Linked DNA regions of Bombyx mori. The main gene of each other region encodes a partner of the protein of the gene in region 2 in a complex. Links are inferred from orthologs where the notes say so. Each region holds a gene or a part of one and is shown on either strand. Other genes may lie near its edges. The genes, in order: Znrd1 and RNA polymerase I-specific transcription initiation factor RRN3.

Evidence for each region.
Region 1: RNA polymerase I-specific transcription initiation factor RRN3 (region 2) and Znrd1 share a complex: the UniProt entries of both Homo sapiens proteins name them as parts of the pol I pre-initiation complex. The link is inferred for Bombyx mori from reciprocal best matches to the Homo sapiens genes RRN3 and POLR1H.

The regions. Positions count from the first base shown.
Region 1 is NC_085112.1:11,752,113-11,755,552, reverse strand, and holds Znrd1 (transcription-associated zinc ribbon protein), read right to left. Parts: upstream 1,754-3,440; 5' UTR 1,753-1,753; coding exon of another isoform or gene 1,748-1,752; coding exon 1,621-1,747; intron 1,397-1,620; coding exon 1,186-1,396; intron 928-1,185; coding exon 903-927; 3' UTR 612-902; downstream 1-611. UniProt on the Homo sapiens protein: Core component of RNA polymerase I (Pol I), a DNA-dependent RNA polymerase which synthesizes ribosomal RNA precursors using the four ribonucleoside triphosphates as substrates. Can mediate Pol I proofreading of the nascent RNA transcript.
Region 2 is NC_085116.1:3,278,563-3,283,174, reverse strand, and holds the start of RNA polymerase I-specific transcription initiation factor RRN3, read left to right. Parts: upstream 1-1,501; 5' UTR 1,502-2,069; coding exon 2,070-2,478; intron 2,479-3,402; coding exon 3,403-3,502; intron 3,503-4,612. Other genes in the region: Galpha12 (G protein alpha subunit), read right to left, coding at 43-543. UniProt on the Homo sapiens protein: Required for efficient transcription initiation by RNA polymerase I (Pol I). Required for the formation of the competent pre-initiation complex (PIC).

The DNA.
Region 1 (3,440 bases), on a different chromosome or scaffold from region 2:
CACTGTTATTACTTGAGAATGTGTAAGTGATCTAAAACAACCACATCATAGCTTCTGCCCACATTTCTAGAGCAAAATCTCATTTTAAAACATCATTCACAACGGACACTGTTGCCAATACTACGATTATTTTTCTTCATTGTATGGTTACGCTAGCTCACAGCCCACTTGATGTTGTTGTGGTCTATAGGATACGATGCCGGTTTACAAGTATCAAGCGATTGTGCTGGTGTTAGTATCAAGGGATAAGGCCTTAGGAGGCAGGTAAAAATTTTCCTTAATAAATATGTATGTATTACAGAATCCAGTGACTTCTACTATGGAAGATTAGCAGTGTGTACTTTTGTTATACAGGCATATTATGCTTACTGTAGGAAACTAATATGGCCGAGCTTGTTCTACATAGAATTATTTCTGAGTAGTGTATTATAAGTTTATCAAAAATTGTCAAATGTAAATCTTCTACACTAAGATCCAAATAAACTTGTTGCATAAAACTCTTCAATATTGCTATGGTTTTAGAAACATGGAAATAAAACCTTTTGAAAAAGAAACTTTCATTGAACTTATTATTTAAAAATAGAAATGTATTTCTCAGCATAAAAAAAACATTTGGACAAATGTTTATAATTTCAATTATTCAGATTTGATTCTATTACATGTAATTTTTAAAACATGGTTTTTAAGATTAATCAGTATAGAATTTACAGTTTAAAAGTTATCATTCCAAGAAATGGAATTAAAATTACGCACCAGTTACATGGTGATTAATTTTAATCCTTATTAAATTTACCTAATTTAAAACAATCAGTAAAACTGATTTTTGCATAAAGTGATTCTGATACAATGATTCTATTGCCGAGTTTTCCTTTGACAACCTTAAAACTAGTATAAAGCAGCCTTTAGGAGTTTTCAGTTTCCTTGTATCTGAAAATAAATAATACTTTACGATATTATCTTGTACGATGTGTTCTTTTTTAAATTAGGAAATAATTTTATTTTTGAGATAGTAGTTGCTTACAAGATCATTATTATGTCCAGTTTTATATTACCAAGGAAATTTGGCCACAAGTTGCAATTATTTTCCTGTCTTAGGCTAGTGGTAGGGTCCAATTTTATTTAATACAAGTACAGATATTGATGACTTGCTCATCGAAATACAAATAAATATTGTAATTTACATACTTGCACTTTATACATGTGTAGAAAACTGTTTGTCCTTCATCGGCCGATCGTAACTGTAGAGTTGCATATGACATTCTGTCGTAACCGCATTTAGCGCATTTTCTCTCCACAACTGGACCCTCAGGACCATCAGTATGTAGTATATTCTCATTTGTGATCACAGATATAGTATTGAAATGTATTGTGTATTGAAATTTCATTTTACTATAATCTGTAAAAAAAGAATTTCTGAATAAAACATTTTTTTAAGTTTTTATTTTATATTTCGAAAACAAATACAACAGGTTCTTTCTGGATTTCATAAGTATCACTAAAGTTTTTTTATTTATTATAAATTTAATAGTGAATATTCGAAAATTATACAAAAGCATAACGCTGAAAAATCGTATCCCGTTTATATGAAAGTAATTTTTTCATTGGCAACTATATACTTACTATCAGCCTCATAATGTGCTTTACAAGTGTAGCATTTCACGGAGCCAAACTCTTGTAGCAAGGGTAATATGGACCCACAGCGAGCACAAAACGCTGTACTAGTTGATAACGGGCTTTCAGTGGACATTATTTCTAAAAGTAAACACAATTATCACTAAAAGGGTTGTGTATTTTTGTTTAGAATATTAGGTTATTTTAAATCTTTATCTATTAGTACTAAACATAACCAAAATATATTTTTAAACCAATATGAAGCATACTATATATTTTTGTGAAGGGTTTTAGACAGTTTTAGTGTATACATACCCTAAGTATTTGCTATACAAAAACCTATTTTTTTTTTACTATAATGATAAATTCATTACTTACGTACAATTTTTTTTAACTGTTTGACAATTGACAAAGGAAACATAGCCCATACTGATAGTATTAGATCACTTGTAACTAAAATTTGAAAAGATGAAGTTCAGTAACTGTTTCTTTTTCTTACCTAAGCTCATAGCCTTGAGAGGCTATGTTAGCGTCACCTAACAAGTAGGTGAGCTCACGGGACTCAAACCTGATGACGTTGCTAACGCTAACCCTAGCAAGAGCAGTGCTTCTCTGAATCTACCAGCGGATCGGAATCGCGACCTACTGAGAAGATCCGGCCAGAAACTCAGTGGGTTGTGTCTGTGGGTTAATTTACTCGCCGAGCCCTTTGTCGCAAGCGACGGTTTCGACGAGAACGATGACTGGTGATTTGAAGTGCTTAAAAGCACCGTTAGTGGATCGGGAGGATACGAAATGACGTGCTGTAATTAAAATAATGAAGATTGCACTTCTACGTTTTAGTTTTGGTGGACTTTTTGTCTCTCTACCACAGTCTGTGACAATGCCTACAGAACTACAGAACGCTCCCAGTAGCTGTAGATATAACCACTACAGTCTACTACAGCTCATTTTTAGCTCTTGCTCTTTACACTATTACTAACTCCACTCTATAAACGAAATTATAAACGCAATTCTTCAATAGTGGATCTCTAAAATCAGTCATCTTCATTGTTTCTCATATATAGATTAGTAGGTATTTAGGAAATATGTTGACAACTGTCGTCGTTGCGGATTAAACTCAAACTGCAGTATAGGAAGCATTTATTTATTCCACACGCACCTTAAAATCGTATACATTAACAATCAATTGATTTTTATCTTTGAACCTTTTAAAAACGTAAAACACATTTTTTTATATCATGACATTTTTCCCTCAAACTGACAGCCTGTCTTTTGAAGTGAAAACTTCTTTAGAATCGTTGTGATTTCAAACCGGATGCAACGGATAAAACGACAGGTAAGAGACACAAATACAAAAATGTGTAGGATGAAGCCAGCAAAGAATGAGACAGAAATATACATACTATTTAATACAGCGCCATCTGTGAGATTTTTTAATACTAACGCGTGTATGAAAGTTCTTGTAGTGAATTTTAATTTAGGATTATACGTGAAATTAAAATAACAATTCACAGAGGGCGCTACCTTACAATTATTTACTAATGACAAAATTTTACATATACCTAGTCAGGTCATAAGTATTGTCACACAGTAAAAACTTTTCTTTTAAAATGCTGGCCACAAAAAAAGTTTATTGAATTCGAATTTCGAATTGTTCATGAAAATAAAAATGTATACTTTTAGAATTTTACTCATTTTTAAATATAGAGTGGACGCTTAAAGAAGACCATGTTGCAGGTATTGCGTTGCATCGTTGCGGTTACGCGCCAATTCAAATTTTTAACATACTGAAAATTTTGAATATAACCAAAAGATTCGTTTATCGT
Region 2 (4,612 bases):
AGGAATACATTGCAATTGCTTTGTTTATTGTATATAACTTACCAATTGAAATTCTCTTCGCCTGTCATATGCCCTTTTTATGGCTCTGTCTAACCACAATGAGTGTATGTGCGGCGCGTAGTGCATGAAGAGTCGGCTGTCGAGCGACGCCGTGCTGTTGAAGTGCAGTGCTTGCTGGCCGATATCCAAATTCCGCGGATTCTCCCATGGTATCGCGAGTTTGTCTCTTGCGTCCACTAACACCTGTATGCCTTTGACAATGTTCTGATATATCACATGCTGGTACTCCCGCACGAGTTCCGGTTCGAATTTCACTTTGTGTATGATTCTCATCTGTTTGAGGAATGTTGACTTTCCGCTTTCACCCGCGCCGAGTAACAACAGCTTCACCTGCCGCCGCAAAGTTTGCTTATCTTTCTCGAGTATTCTGTCGATCTCTTTACTCCTATATCGTTGCTCTATCTCCTCCGGCGATAGCTTCAGACGCAGCCAACAAGTCAGAGCCTCTGTACAGCAGGTACATGACCACAAATCGTTGGCCATTTTGCATGATTATCAAGACAATTAAAAAAGGAAACAAATCAAATCACACTTTATTTGTACAGTTCATTATTTTAAAGTTTTCCAACACAACACACACACTGATAATGATAATACAAAATGAAGATTAAATCCGGAATTCCGAAATACACACGCATTCCACCCCTCCCAATTTCATTGAGAAATGAAAAGTCACAGATAAACGACAAACGTCAAAAATTCAAGTAGGTAGGTACCGTACATGCAGTCTAACATCAAATCACATTCGTAATCTGTAATGCAGACACAACATTCATCTCTACTGTATTCTCTTATATTCTTATTTATATATGTTGTATCTCTATTGAATTCAATAAGTATTGACAGACAAAATAAAGCGGAGTTTATATGAATAATCTAATATTTATAATACTATCAAAAAAATTCGATCGTTCGTACGTTCAATAGATTTGTAACTTTTTAACTCAGTGTTTCTACTTAGGGGAAAATAATAGACAAAGTTTAATTAATCTAAAATAGGAGTCGATTGGCCAGATCGGAGTAATTTTTTACCATGTGTATTATCTACGGAGTTTTTATACGAGTTTCATTCCTAAATTGGGAAAATAAAACTTTTCATTGCAATAATACAATTTTTTTTAAAACATTAAATCGATAAATCAGCTCAAGCTCAAACTGATGACATTAATTATTGAAGTCAGAACTAACTTATTTATAACATTAAAACTATACACAGAAAATAAGTGCTGTCGATAGTTTAATGACAAAACGCAAAAGGGCTCTCATCGAAATAGACAATAAATCTAAAAATAAAAAGTTTTAATAGAGACCAATACCTCAACTAATATGTGCAGTATTTAGACACTAACATGGTGGCAGCGCTTAATACGATTTTATTAGGCGTCTAATTCTTCAAGCCACAAAATTAATTATGCTTTCTTTCGAAAAAGACTTGGTTCGAGTCTTTCAAAAGAAAAGACTAACGTATAGTCATTTTATTCTTTGCCTTTTGAAGATAGAAAAATCAAACCAAAATGACAAATTTCGGCGTGTCAAATAGAAAGTCAAAAAGTTCCGCGCACGTTGCGCACGTGTTCATAAAAGGAACTGAGGTGAAGAATTAGGTTTAGGTGGTTTAATTTGAACGTACGTGTACATTTTCCGTTAATTCATCATAAATATTAATCAATAAAACATCAGCAACATTGTACACAATGTAAAACTTAGAGTTACCGTTAAGCTATGTCGAGAGAAGGTTATAGCCCAGAAAAGAAAGAAAGTGACAACAAGGCTGTTTTAGAGCGATTACAGTCTTATTTGAAAGACAAGAAAAACACTGACGTTTCCGACACGAGCGCCGGGTACAGCAAACCAAGTACGAGCTACGATCCGAACACAAATACTGTCCCGAACATAGAAGATAGTAGTAATATTTTACGCGAAGTACTGAACTACAAAAAAGCAGAATTGCTTCGGCAACCAGACGTAACAGAGTTTTTAAAGGCAATCACGAAAGACTTGAAGAAGTAATGGCGGTAGCGGCTAGGAAAAGCGTCGCGTCCTTGATGCAAAAAACTCTGGATCGCCAAGCGGCTTTAGCTCGTACTAGATTGAAATTCTCCGAAAAACAAATAGAACAGATACTTCTTAATTATGCTAAAACAGGAAACATTGGACCTTACTCGGAATTAGTCAGAGTTTTGAGAGATTACCCATTAAATGATGAGAATTTTCGGATTATTCTCGAAGATTGTCTCTCTTGCGTTCTGATTATGGGACAGGATTTCAAGCAGTTTGTAGAAGCAGTGTGCAATGTTGAGTGGGCTAGTAGGTGTGAAAAGTTAGTCAACCTTTTCAGCACCTTCATCATTAGCCTAGTCACTGCACATATTTACCATTGTCCGCAAGTGATGAGCTGTCTGGTTAAGGTTTTTAAAGGTAAGTTAGCAACACACAGTGGTAGTTCTAGTATACCTGGACAATGATAGCCACTTACGATTCATTGGTTTGTAGGAATTATGAAGATGTCATAAATTATGCTATTACATTATATTATTCTATAATTGTAATATTAAATATAAAATTGTTAAAAGACAAAGAAAATAGAAATGAACATATAAAATATATATTTATATGAACGAATAATCAGTAAATACTAATAAAAACATTGTGAAATATTGTGAAAGAATTTAACACATAAAAGTCAATACAAGTACTCTTTCAGAAATCTAGTAACATTTAAGATTTGAGATTTTCTTTTATTTCATATTCTTACTAATATAACTACTGAAATATTGTATTGTATAAAACTGAATTATATTATTATCATGCTATTAGTCCGTTACTTTTATTATAATGCTTAGATAGGTGGATGAGCTCACAGCCCACCTGGTGTTGAGTGTTCACTGAAGCTTATAGACATACAGAATGTTAATGCTACCACCCACCCTGAAACCTGAGTTCTAAGACTTAGTTTTTACAGTACATCAACTACCCCACCCTTCAATCAAAATACATTACTGCTTTACGACAGGAATAGGCAGGCAAGTGGTGGTACCTACCCACGCATGCTTACAAGTTTCTCTACTGATAGTAATTAAGGAAATTAAAACTTTTACGGGTTTGATTTTTATTACACAACTTCACTGTGGAAGTCATTTGTGAACATTAGTTAAGTAAGTAGTATTCCATCAGAAAAATTGTTACCAGCCTGCAGGATTCCAAACCAGCAGTCACAAGTTGAAGTATCCAAGATAATATTTAAAAAAAAATATTGCCTTTTTAGGCAGACTTACTTAATCTAATAATAATTTTCATAACATTAGTTAGAGATATATTTGATGATGACTATGATATTTTTAGCTAATGAAGAAAACTGGGATGACACTCCACCAACAGAGAAATTGAATAGCTGGTCTAACATTCATACAATCATAGGACAAATTATCGCAATAATGCCGATGTAAGTATTTTACGTAACTTTCTTTAAGGTTATGCTTCATATTACATTGTTTGTGGATGTTTATATCTATCTAACAATTTAAGTAATGTCAGGACTATTTTCTAATGAAGCGCCCTATATGTGTCACGATACATAAAAATTTATAAAATATTTACAGAAATCTTCAACAATTTGAATTAGAGTGGTTTGGGAATTTAATTATTTGAGTATGTGTATTGATTTAGCCCCAGTATTTACTCTTAAGTGAGTGGATATAGGCTAATATATCAAAATGCTTCATGAAGCATATTGATGATATATTTGACAACCTACAAAGGTTGGATGAGATATTTAATTGGTCAGATCTCATTATACTAAAACAGTTCCCTTTTTGGGAACTGTCTTCTGCAGCTAACTAAAAATGTTTGAATACCACAAGATCATCACATAGATGTTTAAAAAGTTTATGGGACCCACCATACTACTTACAAAACATTAGCTGATGAGATCATATTTGAGCCTTCTGTGACACACTCAAAAATTTTAATATAATACTTAATAATAAATGGGTCAATGAGAGACTGAAATTGTTCTCTTAAAATAACCAGGTGCACAGAGTTCTATCTGGCTTTATAAATGACTCTGGAAACTATGTTGTGTGATTTTGCACCTACATCAATCAATACATAGGCGGCACTGAAAATTTCGGGAATTAACGAAGTGACACAACATTACTATTTAAAAATGTATTTATTGCTTTTCGAAGTATTCTCCGCGAAATTTGACACATTTTTCCATACGATGGAACCAATCATTGAAGCAACCATTCCATTCGGAAGTTGGGGTCTCCAAAATGGCCGTTTTGTAGGCGTCCACAGCTTATTCAGGTGATGAAAATCTCTGTCCACGCAATTTATTCTTTATTTTAGGGAAAGTATAGAAATCATTAGGGCTTAGGTCGGGGCTGTACGGCGGCTGGTCTAATAATTATATGTTTTCTTGCTCTAAAAACTCTTGTTCGGTGCGCGGTGTGAGAACTCGCATTGTCGTGATGGAGGATGATGCGGCGGTTGCAGTTCTCTTTACGGAGTTCAGAAACGACCTGTGGCAAATAAATGCTAGCATACCATT